Mus musculus: one gene and its partners. The protein of the gene in region 2 interacts with the protein of the main gene of each other region in a pairwise test. Links are inferred from orthologs where the notes say so. Each region holds a gene or a part of one and is shown on either strand. Other genes may lie near its edges.

Region 1 (6,000 bases), on a different chromosome or scaffold from region 2:
AAATGACTCACAGTCAGCAACTTGAGAGCAGTCCCACGTCCCTTTCCCAAACAGAAGACTACTTGTGCCCAAAGAATAGTAAAGTAAAAAGTGATCTAAAAGGGTGGGGGCTGCCGGAGAGAGGTGGCTGAGTGGTTAAGAGCAATGACTGCTCTTGCAGAGGAGCCAGGTTCAGTCTGCAGCACCCACAAAATGGTTCACAACCATCTCTAACTCCAGTTGCATGGGTTCTGATGCCCCCTTCTGGCTTCCACAGTTACCAAGCACAGACAAGTAAGCAAAACCATCATATCCATAAGTAATTTTTTTTAAAGGTGGCTTGCTCCTCAGGTATGACACCCAAAGGTGTCCTTGGCTGCCACATGAATAAACACGCACATGCATGCACACACATGAACACACACAGTCATACACATGCAAAGAAGAGGCAGAGCAGGTGAGGAAGGAGAAAAGCATGCCAATAGCAAGGAGGAAGAACTCAATTCTGGCTGAAAGCTCATCTGGCTTCATTCCGGGCCTGAGTTCTGCTAATGGGAGAAAAACAATGCTTAATTCTTAGGCACACACGCTTGGAGCCTGCTCCACCCAGGCCCTGGTCAAACATTAACTCATTTAGGGCTCACAAAGCCCCTATGACTAAGTGACATTCTTCTCTGTGTTTTCACAGATGGAGAAACTGAGGCACAGGGTACTCAGGTTACCTGCTCCATCACTGCTAGCCTCCTGGTTGCTTGTGGGATGGCAGTGTAGGGAGGGTGTGACACACAGCACAACAGTACTGGACTGAGCCTTTTGCTTGTTGTCACTGATGATTAAATGGCATTTCCCCAGTGGATGAAGAGAGAAAGCAGGGAGGGAGAGAGAGAGGGGGGGGGGGAGAGAGAGTCTGCCCGTTGAGAGGCTCTGAGAAAAGGCAGTTTGGGGGCCAGATACTCACCTGCTAGAAGGACCAACAGGCTCAGAACAACCTCTTGCATGTCAAAGCCTTGACCTAGAGGAGTCCAGAAAACAGGCCTAACCTCAGCAGGGTGACCAGGATGTAAGGCTTTGTACCTCTGTCTCACCTGTTGCTCACCAGGAACACAGCCCAGGGTACACACAGGAAGACTGGCAGTGAACCTGAAGCTCACTGGGCAGGAAGATAAGAAGCCCCAAAGTCAAGTGGGGGCTGGGTGAGCATTCAGGTTCCATGAAGGAACAGGTCCTATGTGCAAAGAGGCCATTTTCCTGGCAGTGATATTAGGTTTTACTGTGAATGGATTTTTTTCCTTGAGAGAGGAGGTAGAACAGTGTTTTGCTATGTCTAAGATGGCCTTGAATTTGCCACCCCCTGCCTCAGGTCTCCAAGGGCTAGGATTATAGGTGTGCACCATCAAATCCAGCTTGTTAGCCCCATCTTACAGATGGGAAAACTGAGGCTCTGATACAAGAAAGTTGATGCCCTGGATGACTTGATCCAGAAAGCAGAATTTAAACAATGCCTCTTTCCCAACTAGCTGTTCATAACTCAGAACTGTGAGGGCCCCGGGGTGTTTTGGGGAAGAGGGTGCCAGGAGCCAGGTGGCAGGAGGCCCGGGTTCTGGGAGTGGCTCGCACAGACAGCTTGGAGCCTGCCAGGCTCTGCCCACACACTGCAGGCTTCTAGCTGAGGCCTGAGCTGACCCCCTGGGCTGCTGGGTGCGTGTATGAGGGAAATAATGTCAAGCTGGTGGGATATGTCCAGAGGGACCTCTGTCTTCTGCCCCACCCCTGGGTCTGTCCCTTGAGACCCCACTGAGCGTTCTCTGCAGTCCCAACTCTACTCCAGTTATTGCCCCCTACCCTAGCCCTCACTCTGCTCAGCCCCTGCTTACTCCTCCCCCCAGCCCTCTTGACAGCAAACACTACAGGTTCTCCAGTGAGGCTTAGCACAGAGCCCTTTCCATACAGCCCTGGCTGTGACCATCTGTCTTTCTATCACCCTGGAGGCCTGTAATAAAAGTCCTGCTGCCTGTGAACCTCCCCTGCTTGCCCTGCTCAACTGTCCTGAGCTCGTAAGCACGTGTACACACACATACACACACACACACACACACACACACACACACACACAAACACTCATCCCGGCTCCCCACCTGCTGGACACTGTCCAGTGACTTTACAGTGACTCCTCTCTTTAATCCCCAGCAGCCCCAATGTCACCCTTCAGAACTAACCTTTTTTCATTCACACCAAAGCACATACTTGGGAATGGAGCCACCAGTCACCGATGGTGCAGGGGAGTCCCACATGCTCACACAGACGTTGCCATTTCTCTGGGACCAATCCCAGAGGCCGAGAAATCCTTCAGCTTCTTTAGTAATCTAAATCAATGCTACAGGTTTGCCATTCAAGTAACTAGGGAAGCCGAGGCAGGAGAAATTCTACTTCCAAGCCAGCCTGGGATACGACTAAGTGCAAGGACAGACTGAACAATTTAGTGAGATATTGTCACAAAATAAAAAGTTTTTTTTTTTTTTTAAAAAAAAGGATATAAGATACAGCTCAGTGGTAGAGCCCCTGCCTAGAATCCCCCAGTGAAGGGCTGGAGGTGTGGCTCAGTGGTAGAGTACCTGCTTAGAATCCCCCTATGAGAGGCTGGGGGCGTGGCTCAGTGGTAGAGCCCCTGCCTAGAATCCCCCTGTGAGAGGCTGGGGGCGTGGCTCAGTGGTAGAGCCACTGCTTAGAATCCCTCAGAGAGGGGCTAGCAATGGAGGCTTGCTTAGCCTGCTCTTCAGGCCCTGGACTTAATTAACACTTATCACTCACACACACACACACACACACACACACACACACACACACACACATACCATGCACACACATACCCTGGACCCATTTGTTTAGATTAGACATATATTTCTTGTAGTTGATTTGGGGACTATTTCTCAGATGTCTAGGGCCCCAGCAAGCTTTGGGGAGCTCCAGTAGTGGTTAGGGGTCTCAGCTATGGATGCTTGTGGTCTAAGGCTGCCCCCTGATACTCTGTCACACATGCATGGGTTGCAGCTGAGTGCCCAGCCTATGCGGCCATTTTTCTCAGTTCCAGCCTGACTCCCTCATACTGTCTTTTCAGCTTGATGAAGCTGACACTGTTCTTATCCCACACAGCCATCACATGGGAATTCATCCTAACGCTGTGTGCTCTATCAATATGGCTGCTGAATCTCACCTCTTACACTTCTCTCTCCAGACTCTTCCAAGACCCCAAAGGACCACAATCTCTGAGTGAACCAGAGTGGGAGCCAGCACAGAGAGAACCAGCCTTGCTGGGACACTAAGCACCCCTCATCTGCTTCCTGCCTGTGCTAGTCAGAGGGCAGCTTCCGTGTTTTCCCCTACTCCAGGACGGTGGATGGTCATATCTGCAGGGTAGGATGCATACACCCTTGTCATCTGAGTCCCCATCTCCTAACCAAGTCCCGCTTTACAGCTTCCCTGGATCAGACTTCTCTCTCCTGGTGTTCATCTATCTTCCTTGTGCCCTAATAATACCTGGCCGCTCAGACACACACCTCCATCTGCTTCCTCCCCCCAGGGCACTTAAATTACTCTTCATCTACTTAGTTACCCCTAGACACCCCTCTACTCTCATCCACTGAGAAACCCTCAATCACGATATTACGATGTAGTCACTTCCTGTACACCCTGACACCTCAGATACCTCAGGTAAACCCAGACTTCTCATCTTCTCAGACCTCCCCCAGGCTTCCCCAATCCGTCTATGAATATCAGGTGAGTCCCCCCAGTTGTATAATCCAGTCCCACAGAGGTGAGCCATCTGGGACAATCAGCTGACAGAGGCGGGTAGTCTCCTGTCCCCATAAAAGAATCTTTAAGCAGGAAAGTTTTAGGGGTCTTTAACCCCAGTTTCTATGTAATAGGTGCAGTTAGAGGAGAGTTAGAGAGAGTGGGGGAGCAGAGGCTCAGGGAGGAAGGGGCCCCCAAGGCCACTCACCTGAGTAGCTCAACAGGCTGAGAGGTGGTTCCGGGAGAAAGCAGAGTATGGACTTGCCAAGCCGGGACAGCCTTTATCCACACTGCCACGCCCTGAGCAAACCTGGGCAGGCAGGCACAAGTCAGGTCTCCCTGAGGCGAGGGACGCCCCCACTCCATTCCTCCCTTAAAGAGACAGTTCTACTCATTCTTTAACTATAGTAGCCTCAGGTAAAGTGGAAGGGGACCAGGGTGGGCTGAGGATTGGAGGGAAGAGGGTGTGTCTGATCTCCCAAACATCAAAGGAGACTGGGAACGGGGAAGATTCTGGGGTCCTTAATGACAGACGCCCATCATCCTGGAACGATGTGGGAGAACGTGGAACATACATGTAATCTGTTTCTGATTTAGGTTGTAGTGGGGGTGGGGCTTTTTCTTTATTTGTTTGAGACAAGCTCTCACTATGTAGCTCTGGCTGGCCTGGGAACTCACACTACAGACCAGGCTGGACTTGATCTTGTTGAGAGTCACCCATCTCTGTCTCGCAGGCTGGGATTTAAGGCATGCACCACCAGTTGTTGTTTTGTTTGGGGATGCACCCACTGGCATTTGTAGGGAACTAAAGCCCACTCTCCATTCTGCATTCTTTGTTGGCAGGGGTTAATAAAAGACACTGACAAGGCCAAAGTTGTAATAGGAAGAAGGCACTCAAGTGGTGGGTAGAAGTTGGGGAAGGTCTGGTTCTTGGGGTTCATAGACCAGGCCCCAGAAGACTGAAAACCGAACTGACTTTCAACGTTTCTCTCAGAGATGAGGAGATGTCGGGTGGACGTTCAATCTACGGAGTGGGTGTGGGCATGGATGTGGATGTCAAAGTTGTCTTCCTCTACTGCAGATGAGTTCCCTGTACTCTACAAGCCCCCACCCTTCCCTGCCCCCTGTCCAAATGGCACTCCTTCCGCCTGGGGTCTGTAAGGCTCCCACATGGTCCCTGCTGGAGGTGCCCCCTCCCCCAAAATTCTTCCTCCTTACACAGAAGAACTTTTGTCCGGGGTCTGGATGGAGAACAAGGCACCATTGAGTGGCTGGCAGAGGATTGGGGTCACCGGGAGGGGCAGGGCCAGGAAAGGGGTGGCTTCTATTCGGCCACCAGCTGGACTCCAGACGACCCCCAACACTATGGTGAAGGCGGTAGGGTGGAGACCCAGAGGCACCAGGCTTGGGAGAGGTTGCTGTTGTGGGTGTGGAGAGGAAAGTTTAAGGGAACTTAGGGCCAAGGGTCTGTGGGGCAAGGAAAAGGACTCCCCACTTCTCGCCAAGGCCTCCCTCCCTGATGTAGCTCACTTAACTATGATAGTCTGTGTTCCCTGTTGGTAGCTCCTGATCTTCAGGCCCTAGCCAGGACAAGGCATCCTGCCTCCCATAAAGGAGCGGAGCCCTCCCTCAGGGCAGTACCAAAGCAAGAAGCACAGCTAGAGATACAAACAGAGGAAGGACAGGCCTGGCAGTGGTCTGGCCTGGGATGGAGGGAAGAGACTTCCAGGTCCCCTTAGGGCATCTTTGTACCTAGCCACATCTTCCAGAAGCTCGACTGCCTCTGGGGAAAACATCTAAAACCCTTGGTGGTCCTAAGAGTAGGAGAGTGTCTCCCTCTGCTGGACATCATAGAACTACATGCATCAGAGAGCAGGAGCTAGGTGGGGTGGGAGTGGGAAAGCTTGGGTTTCTGTCCTTCATCCCTCCTGGGTGTGCACCCAGATGCTAGAGGGACCAGGTGAGAATCGCGAGCAGATTGTGAGGCAGGATGAGTGTGAGAATGACTATCTTGTCTAAGATAAGTGGCACCCTGTGGTTAGATGTAAGCAGTCTTCAGTCTCCTTGATAAGGGACCAAAGTGAGGTGTGTGAGGTGTATGTGTGGAGGGGGGTGATACCACTGTGGCAGAGAGACAGTGTCTGTGTGTGGTGTGGTGTGGAGTGGAGTGTGTGTGTGTGTGTGTGTGTGTGTGTGTGTGTGTGTGTGTATGTACTTGTATAGGGATAAAAT
Region 2 (5,766 bases):
TCTAGCCTACTTAGTGAGCCCCAGGCCAGGGAGAGACAGTCTCAAGAGTTAGGTGGTTCCGAGAAGGGAGTCCTCTCACCTCCATACACCCGAGCACACACCTGCATACCCCACCACATAACATAGTTGGAGTCTGACCTGAACCTCGTTCATTCATTTACGCATCTGTCAATGGTTGACCTACACCTTGTACGGAGTTCTGTCGGGCACTGGGATAATGGAGGCAGATGAAGCCCCTGGCTCTCAGGAACTTGTTTCCTCAAAAGTCAGGGAAGGAAAAAAAAAAAGTAAAAATAAGCAAACCATGGACTCCAAACTCAAGTGTTTGAGAAGCCCTCACTATTGAATCAGAGCTCTGAGATTTTGATTTCCCAATGAGGTTTTTTTTTTATTATTATTCATTTTTTCCTCGTGCCTTGGCCCTTCTTTTGGTCAGACTACACACACACACACACACACACACACACACACACACACACACTGCACACTGTCGAAGGCTACAGAAAGCCCACCCACACAGGCACATCCAAACACACATACTTCTCTAATCTCCCCAGATCCTCTAAAGGCTGGGGGGTGGGGGCCTGTTGACTTTCCACTTCAGCATTAGTGCAAAAGTCAGGCTGGGAATCTGGGGAGCAGTGATCGGCCTGACCTCCCTCCAAACCCCTCCTCTGGGCTAGTCCTGGGGTCCCCTCATCTCCACACCTGGCTTTCCCAGCTGCTGAGAGGTACATGGGTGTGTTGAGCAAACATCCTTGCAACTTCCTGCTGCTCCCCTCTGAGACAACAGAACCCCCCTCTCCCTGCTCCCCCTCTTCCTCCTTCCCACACCTCCCAGCTGGGGTTTCTCTGGAATCCTGAGTCAGTTCCCTGGAGAGAAACCAGAGATATCCCTTTCTTCTGGCCAGAGGAGAGAGATAAGACACGCACAGACCCTCTCTCTTTCTGTTCTTCCATGCCAGTTATCTGAGTCCAGACTCTTTATTGCACGCACAGGGCTGAAAGGACCATAGGGTGCTGCAAGAGAGCTGAAGAACAGTCACTTGGGAGCTGTGGGAGGACAGAGAGGCTGGAGGAGAAGCCCTGCACCTCTGGGGAGAAGGACCACTGTTCTGTTCTAAGGGGGCCTCTAAAGTTGCATAGGACTCATCTCAATAATAGGAAGAAGGCCTCAGAGGTAGGCCAGCACTGGTTACCTGCAGGCTGCCTGCTAGACTCCCTGGGTTCTGTCTTCTCAGTTACAGCCAGGAGAAACTGGCTTTCCCTTTTTGGTTTTAGTGCAGTGGGGGTGGGGTGGGGCACATGGAGTCCCCATGTAGCTTTAATGGCCCACATTAGGGATTTTTAAGGACACTGAAGACACAAATTTCCATCTTCCAAGTAGACACATCCTTCCTATCCTGAAGACCCAGGGAAGGAACAGGACTCACTCAAAGTCACCCAGCAACTCCCAGCTGAGCGTTTTGTCTCCTTCATTCAGTGCATGGAAGAAGTCAGGTCTCTTCCTTGGCAGGCCTTAATCTACATCATCTTTATGTTAATTAATTAATTAATTAATTAATTAATTTTGGGGGGTTTTTCAAGACAGGGTTTCTCTGTGTAACCCTGGCTGTCCTGGAACTCACTCTGTAGACCAGGCTAGCCTCGAACTTAGAAATCCCCCTGCCTCTGCCTCCCCAGTGCTGGGATTAAAAGTGTGTGCTACCACCACCTGGCTATGTTAATCTTCTAACCAAGTCCTTACAATAATGCTACAGGGAAAGATGCTCTCCCATTACAGATAAGGGAATCAAAGCCCTGAAGAGCATAAGTCTATGTGAACAGCTCCATTAGCTGGTGGCAGAAGCAGAGGCAGATGTAGAATTTCCATGTTCTAGCCAGGAGAGGAGCCCTCTCCTCCTGGAAACCTCTTCGCCATGACTATCCAACCCTGGTCCAGATGAGGGCTGTGGCCCCAGCTGGCCATTCCCTTCTGGTGTCCCACTGCGCATCAGGAATTCTTTCCTGCACTGGAGCAAGGCCAGAAGAGCAGCTACAGAGCAGAGCAGGCTGCAGCGTTCATTGAGAAGAAAGCCCAGCTCAGTCGGTCCCCAGCTGCACTGTCCCTGGAGCCTGGGCCCCAACAAACCTCTTTCCCTCTGAGCAGAATCTTTTACCTGCTCCAAGAGGGCTATGTGGTCCCTCAGGAAGCTGTTGTTTTACTCCTGGGAAGCATCTAGAACCATCCTTAGGAAGCACTGGCCCGGTTTCCCTCCATTTTACAGATCAGGTAATGGAGGCCTGAGGGGGAAAGAGAGACACGCATGGCCCAGGCTCACAAGGGAAACAGAGGCAGGATGAGGGTGTTGCCACTTCTCCTAAGACTAAGCATCTCTCCTAGTTCCTTCCATCTGATGTAGAAGACTAAGACTTGAACAACCTCCCTCAGACAGCAAGGCCGGGACATGCTGCTTGAGAATGCCTGGGAGATCTGTCACCCCATGACTCCCTAACTGATGGAGACGCGAAATCAAGCTGAGCAGGACACTCAATGACATCTAAGGCCTTTGTCTGCTTAAGTTTTGTTAGAGCAAGAGGTAGAGACAAACAGGTGGGGAGCCATGTGTTTGGTCTCTGGTGTGTGTGGGGTGGAGGGGTGTGCAAATGTGGCTCATTCCATGGTGGGGGTGGGTTCCCAGAAGATTCTCCAAACAGCCCACGTTTCTTCAGGATGAGCCCCTGAATCCTGCCCCCCCCCCCCCCCACCGCGTGTGCGTGTGCGTGTGCGTGTGTGTGTGTGTGTGTGTGTGTGTATCTGTCTGTCAGCCATGCTCCTCCTCCATCAAGTCTTAGGGCTGAGCCCGAGTGAAAGAGAGTGAAAGGAAATAAGAGAGAGCCACGTTTCCTTAGAAAAGAAGGGGAAAGGAGTGAGAAGGAGGATAACTTCACAGCTAGGAGCAGTCATGAAGCCACAGGGAGAGACAAAGTTAGCAGAACCACAGGGAACTTAGGGACAAGAAGTACAGTGGCCAAGAGACTGATAGGAAAAAAAAAGGGTCTTCTGAGACGTCACCCGGTGCTTCCCTGTCCCACCACCCCCTACTGCCTTCCCGGGAGGGAGGCCAGAGCAGGGTTCTTCAGTTTCTGGGTCTGGCTCTGTATCTGGGTCTGCCTCTGACCCCCTAGAAGCTTCGGGCGTCTGGCCTGGGAAAGCACCCCTGTGCGCCCCCAGGCGGAGATACAGCCCCAGAGCCACCGAGGCCCTAAAGAGGGCGCAGGAAAGAGCTCCTCTACTTTGCGCCCAGTCTGGTTCCAGAACCTTGGGGTGGGTGGAGGGCGGATGGAAGACTATGGCTGACTATGCCGCGCGCGGGCTGTGGGGTTTGGGGTGAGGATTGGTGTCTCGTTAGTTCATGTCGAGATTCAGAGGCCCCTTACGCCTCCTTGTCCCCTTCCTCTAGAAGCCAGAGGCCAACGTGTTCTTGGATTGAGTCCCCAGGAGTGGTGTGGGGCGAGAGCTGCGAGCCTACTCTCTAGGCTCCTGGTCTAAGAGGGGCGTCCAAGGAACTAGTTGCCCCATCTTAAAACCCTAGCACGTGTCCATCCAAGGGACCCTGTGCTGAACCCCCTCCTTGGCTCTTGCGGGTCTTTGCAGGGTTCCAGGCGCTCTGCGGAGAGGGGTGAGAGTTGTGTGCAAAGGGGAACCGAGACCCTTTCGTTCTTACCGCATTGTTGAGGAAATCCGACTCATTCAGGTCTCCCAAGTCCAGGAAGCTGGATCCCGGGAACAGCCTGTCGGCCGGGAAAGGTTCCAAGACGGCGTCCATCGCGCCGGGTTCCAGGGGACCCCTTCGGGCTGCGCTTTCCTCACTCCAGGGCGGCGGCGAACCCCGCACCGGGCTGCGGCTGGGCGCGGGCAGGCGGCCCGGGGGGCAGGTCCGGGCGAGCCCCGGGGGAGGAGCGGTGGGGGTGGCGCGGGTCGGGGGCGCTGGGGGGCCTTAGGGCAGCGGCGCCGAAAGCACCGTGGGCTTTCAGCCGACTCCTCCTCCTGCTCCTCCCGGGGCGCAGCTGGCTTCCATGGGGAGCCCGGGGGTGGGGCCGATGCTGGAGGAGCCCCCCAGGCCGGGCGGGAGCCAGGGGCGGGGGAGCTCAATGCTCCCCCGAGGATGGGTGGCTGCCGAGTCGCAGAGATCTCTCTGGGTCTCTTCCTCTGCGCGGCTTCTGTCACTTTCCGGAGTCTGAAACTGGGAACCCGGGGCTGGTTAACCCAGCTGGCCCGGGCGCCACGCCCCCACATCAATATTCACGATAACTCAATATTAATGAGTAGAGGGCGTGGCTGGGGCTTCGTCGCCTCTCCTTTAAAGAGACGTGTGTCTGTTAGGTTTCCTTGGCTGGCTCAGCTCTCTGAGTGCTCAAATAAGGGGGATAAAGGCAAAATTATCCTGGAAACTGTAGGCTTCGTGAAACCTGGACGGCTTGTGATGGCTTTACAAGCCACGATTCTGTAAACTGAGGACTGACTAGGAAGCCAAATTCGCCTAATTCTCCTTCTTCTTCTTCTTCTTCTTCTTCTTCTTCTTCTTCTTCTTCTTCTTCTTCTTCTTCTTCTTCTTCTTCTTCTTCTTCCTTCTTCTTCTTCTTCTTCTTCTTCTTCTTCTTCTTCTTCTTCTTCTTCTTCTTCTTCTTCTTCTTTCTTCTTTCTTCTTCTCCTCCTCCTCCTCCTCCTCCTCCTTCTCCCCCTTCTTCCTCCTCCTCCTCCCCCTTCTTCTTCCTCCTCCTCCTCTTCCTTCTTCTTCTTCTTCTTCTTCTTTCTTCTTTCTTCTTCTCCTCCTCCTCCTCCTCCTCCTCCTCCTCCCCCTTCTTCCTCCTCCTCCTCCCCTTCTTCTTCCTCCTCCTCCTCTTCCTTCTTCTTCTTCTTCTTCTTCTTCTTCATCTTCTCTCTCTCTCTCTCCTTTTTTTTTTTTTTTTTTTTTTAAATAGGGTGTCTATGTAGGTCCGGCTGGCCTGGAACACTCTCTGTAGACCAAGTTGCCCTCAAACTTAGTTTCCCCCTTGCTTCAGTCAGGTGCACCACAGTGTCAGGCTTTTTTCAGTTTGATATTAAACCCTGGATTAAACCAAAGTCAGGGAATTCTATCCTCCCTGGGTTGGGGAGATGACGCAAGAGTCTGTTCTTCCAGACTCAGAAAATACCTTTCCACAATGGTGTGTGTGTGTGTGTGTGTGTGTGTGTGTGTGTGTGTGTGTATGTGTGTGTGTATGTGTTCACATGGGGAGGGGCAGGGTCTCATGTAGTGTTTTTGTTGCTATCTATCTATCTATCTATCTATCAATTATCTATTCGTTTTTTGAGACAGATTTCTCTGTGTAGTTAGCCCTCACTGTCCTGGAACTCGCTCTGTAGACCAGGCTGATCTCAGACTCACAGAGATCAACCTGCCTCTGCCTCCGGAGTGCTGAGATTAAAGTCATGCACTGCTGCCTGGCATCACACCCAGCTTTTGGTAGTGCTGGAGATCACACCTGGGGCCTTCTGCCTCTCGGCCAATTGAGCCACATCTCAGTTCTTGACTTGCAGCTTCTTTATTTAGTCTTTATCACTGAGCTCTCTCACTCTTGGCTTCTGTGTCTCCTCCCCTGGGAAGCCTTCCTGGAAGGCCCAGATGGGAGCACTCGCCATCCCTGCACAGACTCCGGGCACAGGTGCTCAGCACCAGTTCCATGCCTTTCAGCCTTTGTTTGCACAGTTGACCATGACCTTGCTGGACTCCAAAACCCATC
Region 3 (6,021 bases), on a different chromosome or scaffold from region 2:
AGGTGGGAGTACCTGGGGGAATGAATGAGAAGCTGAATGGGGGGAGTACTTGGGGAATGAGAAGCTGAATGGGGGGAGTACCTGGGGGAGTGAGAAGCTGAATGAGGGGTGTTCCTGGAGAATGAGAAGCTGAATAGAGAAGAGTACCTGGGGTAATGAGATGCTGAATGAGGGGAGTACCTGCGAGTATGAGAAGCAGCCTAGGGGACCACTTCTGTTTTCTGAGAAGCTCGCTGAGAAGAGGGGGAGGTTAATGGAGCCTGTGGGCCATTTATTCTGCATTTCTGCATTTTCCAAAGTTTAGACAAGAAACTGCACTGCCCCGCCCAGCACTGTAGCACATCTTGTAATCCCTCAGCACTGGGGCCCCAAGGCAGGAGGACTGCAAGCATGGGATACCAACATGGGATGCACAGAGGGACTTAGGAGGAAAAGAAGGAGGGAGAAGTAGTGTCCCTACTTAAGGTCACTGCTCCACCTTGCCAAGTCCCCTTCACAGTACCACTCCTGTTCCATGGCCTGGGGACACCTGTTAGTGTTTTCAGTTGGTTTTGTTGTTGTTTGTTTGTTCCAAGCTAGCCTGGAACTCCATAGCCCAGGCTAAGCCTTGAATGCATGACCATCCTACTTCAGCCTCCCAGCTCCTGAGGGCTCAGATTACAGACCTGCAGGCCTGCACTGCTACAGCCTGGTTTATACTATTGCTCCCTCCTCCCTTCCCCCCTCCCCCCTCCCCCTCCCCCTTCCCCTCTCCTTCCCCTTCTGTCCTCCCCTCTCTCTCCCCTCCTTCCTCTAAGATTTATTTATTTATTTTATGTATATGAGTACACTGTTGCTGTCTTCAGACACACCAGAAGAGGGCATCGGATCCCATTACAAATGGTTGTGAACTATCATGTGTTTGCTGGGAACTGAACTCAGCACCCCTGGAAGAGCAGTCAATGCTCTTAACTGCTGAGCCATCTCTCTCTAGCCAGCCTCTTCTCTCTCTCTCTCTCAATTCACTCTGTAGTCCAGGCTGGCCTTGAACTCAGAAATCCACCTGCCTCTGCCTCCCAAGTGCTGGGATTAAAGGCATGTGCCACCACTGCCTGGCTCTCCTCTCTTAATAGGGGCACAAAGATATTCACCATGTAGCCCAGACCAGCCTCAAACTGATAGTCGTCCTCTTACTTCAGCCTCCCGGGCAAGCACCACCACTGCAGACAACAGGTTTTAGTAATTTAGCTGAAAGTCCCCAAACGTAAAGTAGCAATCACACAAGTCAATGATGTTGCTGTCTCCCCAGCCATTGACACCAAGTTCCAAACGTGTGCATTTCCCACAAAGAAACCAATGCCTACTGGGCACTTGTTTCTTGTGCCAACCCAGCCCTGCCCTTCCTCATGACCAGCAAGTCCCTTAGGTCCCTCAGAAGCTGCCTTTCCTGAACACTCCCTAGCGGGTCAGAGCCTGTGTGTGGCTGGCTTCCTTCCTGGGAACCCTCCCTGCCTTAGAGGTTTGCCAGCCTTACGCCCCACAGTAGTACCTCTTCCCTCTTGCCATGGCTTTGAAGGAGAAAGTGCTCTCATGACAGCTATGCGCCAGGGGTGGGAGCAAGGGGGGCATTCTCTGTGTCTGGGAAGTTCTTAAACAGGACCAACCAATGTTTCAGAGTCCATCAAGTCTCCCATTATAGTGTGGTGGCTGTCCCAAAGACATACCATAAGGACAGGATCTAGGGACAGGACACTGGACCCCAGGTTTCTACTCCCACCCTCTAGCCGCCCTGGAAGGCAAGACTATCTTTATGCTCTGCTTCACTAAGGGGATCAAAGGGAGGGCCCCCTATTTCCATCCAAAGTCACAAAACAGGACAGTCACCACCCCACTTGAAACTGAAGGAGAAAGTTGGGCCAGGGACCTTCCAGGGACTTCTTGGAGACTGCCCAGTTCCTGAGTCACCCACACAGAGGGGTGGTAGACAGGCAGGGGTGGGGCCCATAAAGCTGAGTCACCCCTCGGCTAGACTGAGCTGGGCAGGAGATCAGCTCAGGGTGGAATCCCAGGATAGTATAGAGTGCAGGACGGAGATACTCAGAGGGGCAAAGCCACCCACTCACCCTTTATTTCGGTCTCTTCTAGAAGACATGTAACATCCTAAGCTTCACCCTGTCACCAGCTTGCTCAGGGTCCTTGGGGTGTTCCAGGAAGGAAGGACAGAACACCAAGACCTCCCTGGAAAACTCCACCCAGGGTTGTGACTATCAGTTCAGGGACCACTCAGCTGCTTCCTCTAGGGGAGGAGGAGATGGCTACCTTTTCATTTCCAGAGAGCATCTTGGACAGAAGAATAAGGACTAGACAGAGGAGAGTATGGTAGTAGGCCTTCTCGATGGTCACCACCCCAGGGCCTCAGTAAAGGAGCCAAGCCTTACTCAAAGGCACTCACTCACTCAGTCAAACCTTCATGTACTCCCCACAGCAGCCACAGGGCAGGGGTCAGCCACCTCTCTTTGATCCACAGTCCCCAGAAAGGGTTTATTGCTAGTGTCACCTTCCAGGTAAAGAAACTGATATGGGGCTGGAGAGATGGCTCAGGGGTTAAGAGCACTGACTGCTCTTCCAGATGTCCTGAGTTCAAATCCCAGCAACCATACAGTGGCTCACAACCATCTGTAATGAGATCGGATGCCCTCTTCTGGTGTTTGAAGACAGCTACAGTGTACTTACATATAATAAATAAATAAATCTTTAAAAAAAAAAGAAGGAAAGAAAGGAAAGAAAGAAAGAAAGAAAGAAAGAAACTGATGGGGAAACTGTAGAACATTCCAGGTTGGTATCTCTACATCCACAATGACACTCGGCCACTCTCGGTCACCTTCCCTTGGGATACAATGCCCTGGGCAAGGATCAGGTCCACAGGCTGTCTCTCTTCTCAGTGTCTGATGGACACAGGCCAACAGCATCGCCCTCTCCATACTTAGCACCATCACTCCATAGAGCTTCGGGCCCCACCTCTTAGTAGGACAGCCAGAAAGGATGCCTGAGCCCTCCTTCTCCTAGGCTGCTATCTGTGAAGCTAGGTCAGAGCCAATGGGCCTGGGGTACCTGTTGCCCTGGGGCTTCCCTAGAGACTATGACCCAGAAACAGAAGGGAGCCGGCCACGCCCTCTTCCGTCCACTGCGTGAAGCTCCTCCCATCCTTGAGCTTTCCTTCCAGCAAAGCCGTTTCTGTCCCGAGGAATTTTAGGACTTTTTGTTTTTAACGAACTTGCAAATCCTCCTTATACCTTTTGCCAGCTTTTCTCATTCTGAAAGTAATCATCGCGCCAGCAACAGGTCAGTTAGGACCGGCAGGAACTGGTCACCATGAGGTCTGGGGTGTGGGGAAATGGCGTGGCGGAGTGGCAACTTTATCAAACAAAACTGGCTTTCAAGGCGCCGCTTGCACAACCCCCTAACAAGGGGAACACAAACAGAAGCCGAAAACTCCGATCAGAGAAAAGCTTAAAAAGCAAGCCTGCTGTCTGTCGGCCTCACCCCTCAGGTACCTACCACTATCAAGAGTTTCTAGACGCTGGCGGGTCTCAGCCCTGAGACGGCCAGGCACACACACGCAGTACCCAAGTTCACAAATCACTACGCAGGAGAAGCGTCCACACCACACATGCAGGCTTTGATCTCAAAGCAGGCTTAGGCAGCTGCCGCTCAAATCCTGGCTCCTGGGCTTTGCATAGTCTCGGTTTCCCACGGATCCCAGAACTCCTCTGCAGGGGAAGCAGGATTCCCAGCAGCCAGAGGCTATCTCCTCTTCCCGCCCAGCTGCCTCCAGCTGCAGCAGCCAACTCCTGCCTCACCGAGGTAGGCACAGGACATTGGCCGCTGTCCCCAAAGGCCAAACACCCTCAGCCTCAGCAGCACATCCTCGGGAGGAGTCCCTCCCGCTTGGACCTGGCCTCAGTTTCCCTTTTGGCTCCCCGCCGTCAGGGTCTCACGTACCCACAGCCCCGCTCACGCAGTCGCTGGTTGTTCCGTGAAGGACACTGCGCACAGAGGTTGGTAGCCGCTGACCCCGCCTCGCCCCGCCCCGCCCTGCGCCGCACCCGGAGGCACCCTGCCTTCCCAGGCCCGCCCTCAACCAGGCACCCCTCTTTTTTTCTCTCCTCATCGTGGGCCTGGACACAGAGGGGAGAGATGCATCGCAGACAGGCAGACAACGAATGCCACAGAGGTGGCACATGTTTGTATTTCACACCGAGACAGGAGGATGACAGTGAGCTCGCAGTCAGTCTGAGCTGCGTATTATATTCCCCCCCCCCCCCCCACTGTGCCTGGCTGAATTCTACCTATCATCTTATCCGTATTTTGTGTTTTTTGTTTGTTTGTTTATTTGTTTGTTTGTTTTAATGAGGGACTTGGGATATAGTTCCATTGTGGAGTACTTTCTGTGCACGCAAAGGCCCCTGAGTTTCAATCCCCAGCACTGCCCAAAATAAAGGAAAACAAAACTAACCGCTTTCTGCCTCTTGTGTTAGTAAGGCCCTAGGCGCTATGCCTGGCCACACCCACTTGCTGGCAGCCCTCAACCTCTTCCTGTGAGTCAATTAGAGTAGGCTGGCTGGGCAAGGAGCCCCACCAATCTGCCTGTTTCAACCTCCTGGGCCCTGGGATTATAACTGTGTACTACTATACCCAGGGTTTTAACACAGGTTCTGGAAATGAAACTCAGATCCTGGTGTCTGCAAGGTAAAGGTGAGCATGCGACCCACTAAGGTATCGTCCCAGTCCCGGGCTTCCTGTTCTTAACCAGCAGCACAGCAGCCGAAGGCGGTCTGATTGAGACATCTCTCAGCACACCTCTGCAGCCTTGCCAATCCCTGCGGCAACGGCTCTACATGCCTTGTACGTGCCTACAGCTTTTCAGTCTCTCTGCGCCCCTCTGGCGTACCCTTGTCTGCCTCCTGGATAGGTTTCACGTCCTATTGTGTATTTGCAAAGGATTGACTGTCACCGGGAAGGGGGAGAGGGAGCTGGGGGAGGGGATCTATGGTGGAAATTTAGTCCCCGTTGTGAAGAATCAAGAGGTGAAACCAAGTGGGACCAGGTGGACCTTGAGGTGACTATGTCCCAAGGATTCACGGTGTGGCCCCTATCCATTCACGATTCATTCAGGAATAGATCCATCGGTTATCCTGAGTGTAGGTCTGGTATCAAAGCCAGCCAGTGCAGGTTCTCGGATAGGGCCCCTCTTGTCAGATGAAGCCCTACATCCCTTGGATTCTGTAGAGAGTCTCCACCAGCAAGGAGGCTCTTGTGAGATGCAGCTTCTGACCTTGAACTTTACAACCCTGAGGACGGTAACTTGTACTCTATATAAATGGCCCAGTATGTCATTCAGTGATAGAAACAGAAAACTAACTGAAGCATCTTCCCTCTCAGTGGCTCATTTTGTCTAGGTTGGCTAGTCCTCCTAGAGCTCTTGCCAGAGTCCCTCTGTCCTTCAGATCCTTGGAAGTGGGTTGTGGTCCAGCGGCCTCATGCTGTGTGTTATGACATCAGTATGCAACTGTATACATCTCTGGCGCACTCGACTGTTGTTGCTACTACCTTCTTGCTACAGCCTGTGGATGTAAATTTGGGCTGCAAAGATTTGAAATTTTACAAGCACAGCCTCCTATGTGAGTTTAAACTTAGTCCACTGAGCCAGCAATCAAAGGACCTGACCTTTTTATTTTTTGTTTTACACGTGTGGGTATCTTACCACATATATGTATGCGTACCATGTCTGTGCCTGGTGCCCACAGAGGTCAGAAGAGGGCCTTGGACATCCTAGAACTAAAGTTAAGAGATGGTTGTGAGAGCTGGGCGTGGTGGCGCACACCTTTAATCCCAGCACTTGGGAGGCAGAGGTAGGTGAATTTCTGAGTTCGACATCACCCTGGTCTACAGAGTGAGTTCCAGGACAGCCAGGGCTACACAGAGAAACCCTGTCTCAAAACAAACAAACAAACAAACAAACAAACAAACAAACAAACAGAT
Region 4 (5,750 bases), on a different chromosome or scaffold from region 2:
ACCCAAGCTGGCCAGAGAGGTCTCGGCCTATTTGTTGTTCCTCCATGGACACTGTCAACCCTGCCTTTCTCAGAGGTGGGATCCACTGAAATGAGCTTGCAGGACTGACATAGAAGCAGATATCAAAGCAAGTGGAACTCGGGCTGCTTGAATAAAACCCAGGGAAACAGAAATATACCCCAAAGGCTGGACCATGGCAGAGGCCAACCTACACATTAATGTCTGAGAGCAGAACATGTGGCTCAGCTGTGAGTGCTGTCATCTCTCACCAGCCAACAGACAGAACCCCCATGCCTCATCCCCATCCAGTGGCTATAGGTCAAGAGACTTTGTTGTATGTCCCAGGCCTGCTCACTCCATCCAGATCAGGAGGAAGAATCCACCATACATACCAAAGCCAGAATGAGAACCTCCTGAAATACTAAATGCCTCAAATCCCTAGAGTCCTCAGCTCTAAAAGGCTTAGAGCAGAAAGGGGGTCTATCATCCCAGGAATGTAAATAATGGCTGTTCAGCTGTAGTAGGTACTAACCCTATAATGGCCACTGGGACCCTGTCCCCCCATATTCACAAATGGCATGGTCTTCCAAGAAAAGGTGGCAGGGAAGGATGTGGAGGCCACCAACCCCATGACAACTTGCTGCCTAACAAATGCCCAGAACTGAGGAAGGAAACTTGAATACCCCAAGCCATACTTGTATCATGGTCAGATGCAGATCAATTATCTTTACAAGATCATCAAAAAAGGAACTCAGAGTACAGGGCCATACTCACATTCCAACACTCATGGAGATCTCAGAGATGCTCAGGAGCTCTGAGCAGCACCAAGTAAGCCATGAAAGGCCAAGCAGGGCTGTCTGAGAGCTGGTCCAGGCTGACACCCAGGTGGTAGAACACAGATACCTGCTCTGCTTTCCTAGATGGATAAGTGTGCCTCAAAGAGGCCAGCAGGACAAACGGCAATCTGTTTGCTGTGCTTGCTGTCAGTATGCTCAATTTTGGACAAGAATTCAGGTTACAGCTCAGAGTTTGACGTTCTTCATTACAAATACTGTTGTTTCCCTAGATTTAATGGAGTGGAGAGAAGAATCAACACACAAGCAGCTCTCTGTTTGCTCCTTTCCCCCTCCAATCTCAGTTTAGATCAGAATTGTTCCTATCTATTTTACTGATGGAAAAACTTCTCTCTAGGCTTAGTCATTAGCCCAAAGCAAGTACTGGACACCAGACACATGGTCTACTATCTGAGAGCTACACTTTTCACTGTACTTAATTTTAACTTCAATGTAATCGCCACACATGGCTAGCAGCTACTGAACTGCTGTCACTCAGCTCTAGTACTAGCCTGTGTTTCTGGACTTAACAGGCACAGCAAGAACCACTGCAAACTAAGCTGACAACCAGCACAAAGTGGGGCCTTAAATATAACATATGCACCAGAGTATGCAGCCACTGGCAAACACAGTGTCTGTTCAAAGCACTGCCCATTCCAGCCTTGCCACAAAGCACACAGCATCCCCTTTGGTTTCAGCACAGGGCAGGGGCAGGAAGGTGTGAAGAACTCTGGAAGTGCTCTCTCTCAACATGAAGCTGAAATTTGAGTCAGTCCAAATGTGACACGGAACAGAGTCACTTAGAAGGCACAAACAGCTTGTGTCACAGAGTCAACACTTGGTGCTCACAATCTATGGGTGCTGAGTGTACATTATTCTGGTCTGCTCCATCCTGTCAGGCCACCAAGCAGCAATGGAGGTGCGCCCAGAAGTCAGTCTGCTAGTCAGGAGGGAGTGTGTTTCCACACACAGCCTAGAGTGGGAGGCCTGACGGAGATGGGGTTCTGAGAATGAACTCTCTGGAAGGGCCCTTCCCATAAAGGCCGACAGAGGAGTAACCTCCAGGCACCAGAAGGAGGGCAGATGGCAACTCTCAAATCATAAAATCAGACGCCCATCCCTGGCAGACATACAGCACCTGCATGTTTGGGAAGAACCTTCAATTCCTGGGCAAAGGTCACAACCTGAACACCTACAGGACCCAGGACGATAACCTTACCTAGTTAAGACTTCAGTGAGAAACAAGCACCAGTGGCTCTGAGGAGAACCACTCCCTATCTAGCTTCACAGTGAGTTCTGTCTGCATTGGACTTAAACTCCCTTAAAGGCTGCTGCAGCACAACCAGCAAGGCCTGGACTAAACTATGGGCGGTTGGTTGACAAACTGCTTTTAATTAATATCTGTTTCAAGACAAAGGAAAAATTCTCCATTTTCTTAGGTAGGCTAGCAAGACTCCTGTCTCACACTTGAGGCATGCATGTTTGGCCCTTTCAGTCTGTGTCCAAGAACAAGAGTATGGCAGGGTGCAGTAGCCCAAACCTTTATTCCCAGTGCTTGGGAGGCAGAGGTAGGCGGGCCTCTGTGAGGTCAAGGCCAGCCTGGTCTATAGAGTGAGTTTCAGAACAGCCAGAGAGAGCTACACAGTAACTCTAATGACTCTACACACGTGGCTCTAAAAACAAGCAAACAGAAATATTAGGAAAGTTCTTCCCTTCTGTTGGGCTGAAATTAAAATCCTGAAAGCATCCTTAGGGATTTAAGGACTCGGAAAACAAGATAACCTCTCTGGCTGTTCTTATCTAAGAAATAAGTGGGAGTTAGGGAAAAAACAAACAAACAAACAAACAAACAAACACTCCTCGCCACTGCTTTTCCATGTCACAGTAAACGCAGAACGGATTATTTAGCATAACCGAACTCAGGAGTAAAACTGGCTACCACTTCTGCCAAGCAGGAAGACTAGTGTGGGATGGAAAAGCTGTCGTATGCAATAGCAAGAAACATGGGATGCGTCAGTCAAAAAGGAACAACGCAGATTAGTTGAGACACAACTTTTATGGTTGACAGTACTCATTGGAAACGGAGGGGAAAAAGTCAAACTTTGCTTTTTTTTTTTTTCTTTTCCTTTTTCTGACATCCACAGTAAAATGCGGAGGACTTAGCAAGACCGACTGGGCAGGTTAATCCAGTAGCGCCACCGATATACACCCACCTCCCCAAACTTCTTATCGTTGAACAGCTTCTAGTAACCTATTAGCTAAAAATAATTCCCAGAAGGAAAAGGCTACAAGTTCAACCCGAAACACGTCAACTACTCTTGTCATCCGGAAATCACTGGAAGAAACAAAACCCCTAGCGCCCCCAAACGCATTCAGTAGGAAAGGTCACTACAAAGGACTTAGGGCAGAAGTGCTCGAAGAGAACCCTCAAAAAGTGGCGACGATTGCTCGCTCACAAGGCGGCCAGGCTCAGGCTCTTGGAGGCGCGCCCGGCACGCTGCCGCTCTCAGCAAACGCCCCTATAAAGCACACGGCGCCGCGAGCCTCTACCCTCCTCCTCTCCCCGGAGCCCATCCACGCCACACCGGGCGCCCAGGCCGAGCGGGCCACGTGCGCGAGCCAGCGGCCCGGAGCCCACAGGACGCTCGGTAGGACAGCGTGGCGGCCCTCGCAGCTACTCACCCTGGCTCACCGCCCACCCGGCTGCGGGTCGCCGCCCCTCCGAGTCGCGCTCCCCTCGCTCCTGGCCGTCGCGCCGCCCCGCTCCTCCCACACCTAAGCCCCCGCGGACTGGGCCCCGCGCGTGGCGGGCACACGATCCGGAGTCGCGCGTGGCACAGAGGCTTCGCCGGCTCTGCGGTCGACCTTCGCCCGCGGTCGCGAGCCCAGCTTACCTCTCTCGGGAGCCGCCGCCGCCCGGACCCAGACGCCTCCTTCCCCACGCGGCCATCTTGGAGACTCTCGGTTCGTCGGGGGCTGGAGCCGACGCGGCTCAGGGCGCGCGGGAGCCGAAGGGAAACGTAGTCCCGTGAGCCGCGCGGACGAGGTGGGAGGTTGCGAGAAGGACTACACTGCCCACAATACCTCACGCCGGAAGCCTGCTGTAAGCTGCCGCGCGCAAGAGGGCGAGGGGGTGGGATCCGCCTTAGGAAAGAGTCTTCAAGTCGCAAAGTGCGAGTCGCTGCGCCCACCGCCTGGACGTCCTTGGGCTCCCAGAACGAGTGGCTGAAGGAGAGCGGAAAGAAAGCGCCTACCACTCCCAGAGCGCTTCGCGCGACGATCCCGCCCTCACAGCCTGAGAGGCCCAACCCTTGGCCTCGGCCCTGTTGCCCTTCACCGTGGCTTCGGCCGCTGGGGGCCTGAGTCCCCCAGTTCTCACACTTTACAATGACTTGAGCAGCTTAACCTTTCTCCTTTCCCATCTGCAGACCAGAACTCGTGCACCTTCAGTCCGAAGGTTACCTCTGCCTCCGCGGCGTCAACTGCCCCCCTCTCCTGACCGGAACTTGCCCGGCTGACAAATCCAGAGATTTTGAAGGTCTGTAGATGTGCTTGCCCTAAAACGCCTTTTCCTCCCAGTCAGGTTTTATGCTTGTCTGGTTTCTATAAAGTTCCTGGTTTTCAAATTGAATATGCAACTCCGCCTCCGATTGCCAAACTCGTAACACATGCAAGTGTGGCAAAAGAATAGGGATGTGTAGAGAGACGTCAAGAATAAGGTATGAGGGGGCTGCGGAGATTGTTCAGTACTTAAGAGCACTAACGGCTCTTTCAGGGGACTGTGGATCAGTTTCTGGCACGTGGTAGCTAACAACAGTCAGCTATTGCAGTAACGTCTGACGCCCTCTTCTGGCCTTACGACCACAGCACACGTGTAGTGCACAAAACACCCAGACACAATCAATCAATCAATCAATGCCAGTTGATAGTGCCTGGGATCCCTTCCTTGCCTGGATTACTCAATAACAAACAGCATGCAAGAGAAAAACTTGGCCTGGAGAAGGCAGGTAATGGCTAAGGACTTCAGGTTATGCATTCTTCCAGATCACTAGCCCATTCCCTACCTGAGTGTCTTTGTAAATTTTTTTTTTTTAAGTAAATTGCCTCTATTGCTAACTATGCATCTCTGATACAATTCTTTGTCCTGAGACACAAGAACCTAGGAACTTATGTAGGTGGTCCCTGTGACTCAGCCAGGAGGTAAAAATCTATGTTTTCTCTCCCATTTCCCCCTTCCTTAACTACACTCTACTACCCAGGAACATCTGTGAGAAAGCTCTCAGCTCTTTAGGAACCTGATAAAAGTGCAGGGGTGACGGGCAGTGGTGGCGCACGCCTTTAATCCCAGCACTTGGGAGGCAGAGGCAGGTGGATTTCTGAGTTCGAGGCCAGCCTGGTCTACAGAGTGAGTTCCAGGACAGCCACGGCTACAGAGAAACCCTGTCTCAAACAAACAAACAAAACAAAACAAAACAAAAAAGGTGCAGGGGCGTGTTCTCTTTCCCATTACCCTATAGCCACTGCCTAGGGGATGTCTGAACCCTTTTCTCAGCCCTACTGCAGTATGAGCAAAAAACAATGTGTACTGACCAGGGACTGCCAAGCCCACATTTAAGCTGGGAAGCAGCTAGCCAGGAGGGTCTGCCTTTACTGGGAGTCCTCAAGGATCTAGTGTTCTGGTGCCAAGTCAGAGACATGGTGGATCCCACCGGGGATCTATGTCCCTGTCTTAGATTTATTTCTTGTTGCTGTGATAAAAATACACAAGCCACTTAAGGGAGAAGAGGATTTATTTGGCCTACACTTCAGGTCATAGTCTGCGGTGGTTTTAATAACGGTCCCCATAGGCGCATATATTTAAATGTTTGATTCCCAATTGTACTGTTTAGGAAGAATGAGGAGGTCTGGCTTTTATTG

What was found.
Region 1: the proteins of Creb3l1 (region 2) and Fxyd3 interact in binary tests that used the Homo sapiens proteins (3 or more experiments, as listed by UniProt). The two-hybrid records come from large-scale screens. The link is inferred for Mus musculus from reciprocal best matches to the Homo sapiens genes CREB3L1 and FXYD3.
Region 3: the proteins of Creb3l1 (region 2) and Tspo interact in binary tests that used the Homo sapiens proteins (3 or more experiments, as listed by UniProt). The two-hybrid records come from large-scale screens. The link is inferred for Mus musculus from reciprocal best matches to the Homo sapiens genes CREB3L1 and TSPO.
Region 4: the proteins of Creb3l1 (region 2) and Tmem11 interact in binary tests that used the Homo sapiens proteins (3 or more experiments, as listed by UniProt). The two-hybrid records come from large-scale screens. The link is inferred for Mus musculus from reciprocal best matches to the Homo sapiens genes CREB3L1 and TMEM11.

The regions. Positions count from the first base shown.
Region 1 is NC_000073.6:31,072,645-31,078,644, forward strand, and holds the start of Fxyd3 (FXYD domain-containing ion transport regulator 3 precursor), read right to left. Parts: upstream 4,054-6,000; 5' UTR 3,977-4,053; intron 992-3,976; 5' UTR 978-991; coding exon 938-977; intron 1-937. UniProt on the Homo sapiens protein: Associates with and regulates the activity of the sodium/potassium-transporting ATPase (NKA) which transports Na(+) out of the cell and K(+) into the cell.
Region 2 is NC_000068.7:92,020,297-92,026,062, forward strand, and holds the start of Creb3l1 (cyclic AMP-responsive element-binding protein 3-like protein 1), read right to left. Parts: upstream 3,875-5,766; 5' UTR 3,810-3,874; coding exon 3,708-3,809; intron 1-3,707.
Region 3 is NC_000081.6:83,561,605-83,567,625, reverse strand, and holds the start of Tspo (translocator protein), read right to left. Parts: upstream 4,054-6,021; 5' UTR 3,982-4,053; intron 1-3,981. UniProt on the Homo sapiens protein: Can bind protoporphyrin IX and may play a role in the transport of porphyrins and heme. Promotes the transport of cholesterol across mitochondrial membranes and may play a role in lipid metabolism, but its precise physiological role is controversial.
Region 4 is NC_000077.6:60,874,986-60,880,735, forward strand, and holds the start of Tmem11 (transmembrane protein 11, mitochondrial), read right to left. Parts: upstream 4,054-5,750; 5' UTR 3,784-4,053; coding exon 3,728-3,783; intron 1,063-3,727; exon of another isoform or gene 789-1,062; coding exon of another isoform or gene 775-788; intron 1-774. UniProt on the Homo sapiens protein: Plays a role in mitochondrial morphogenesis.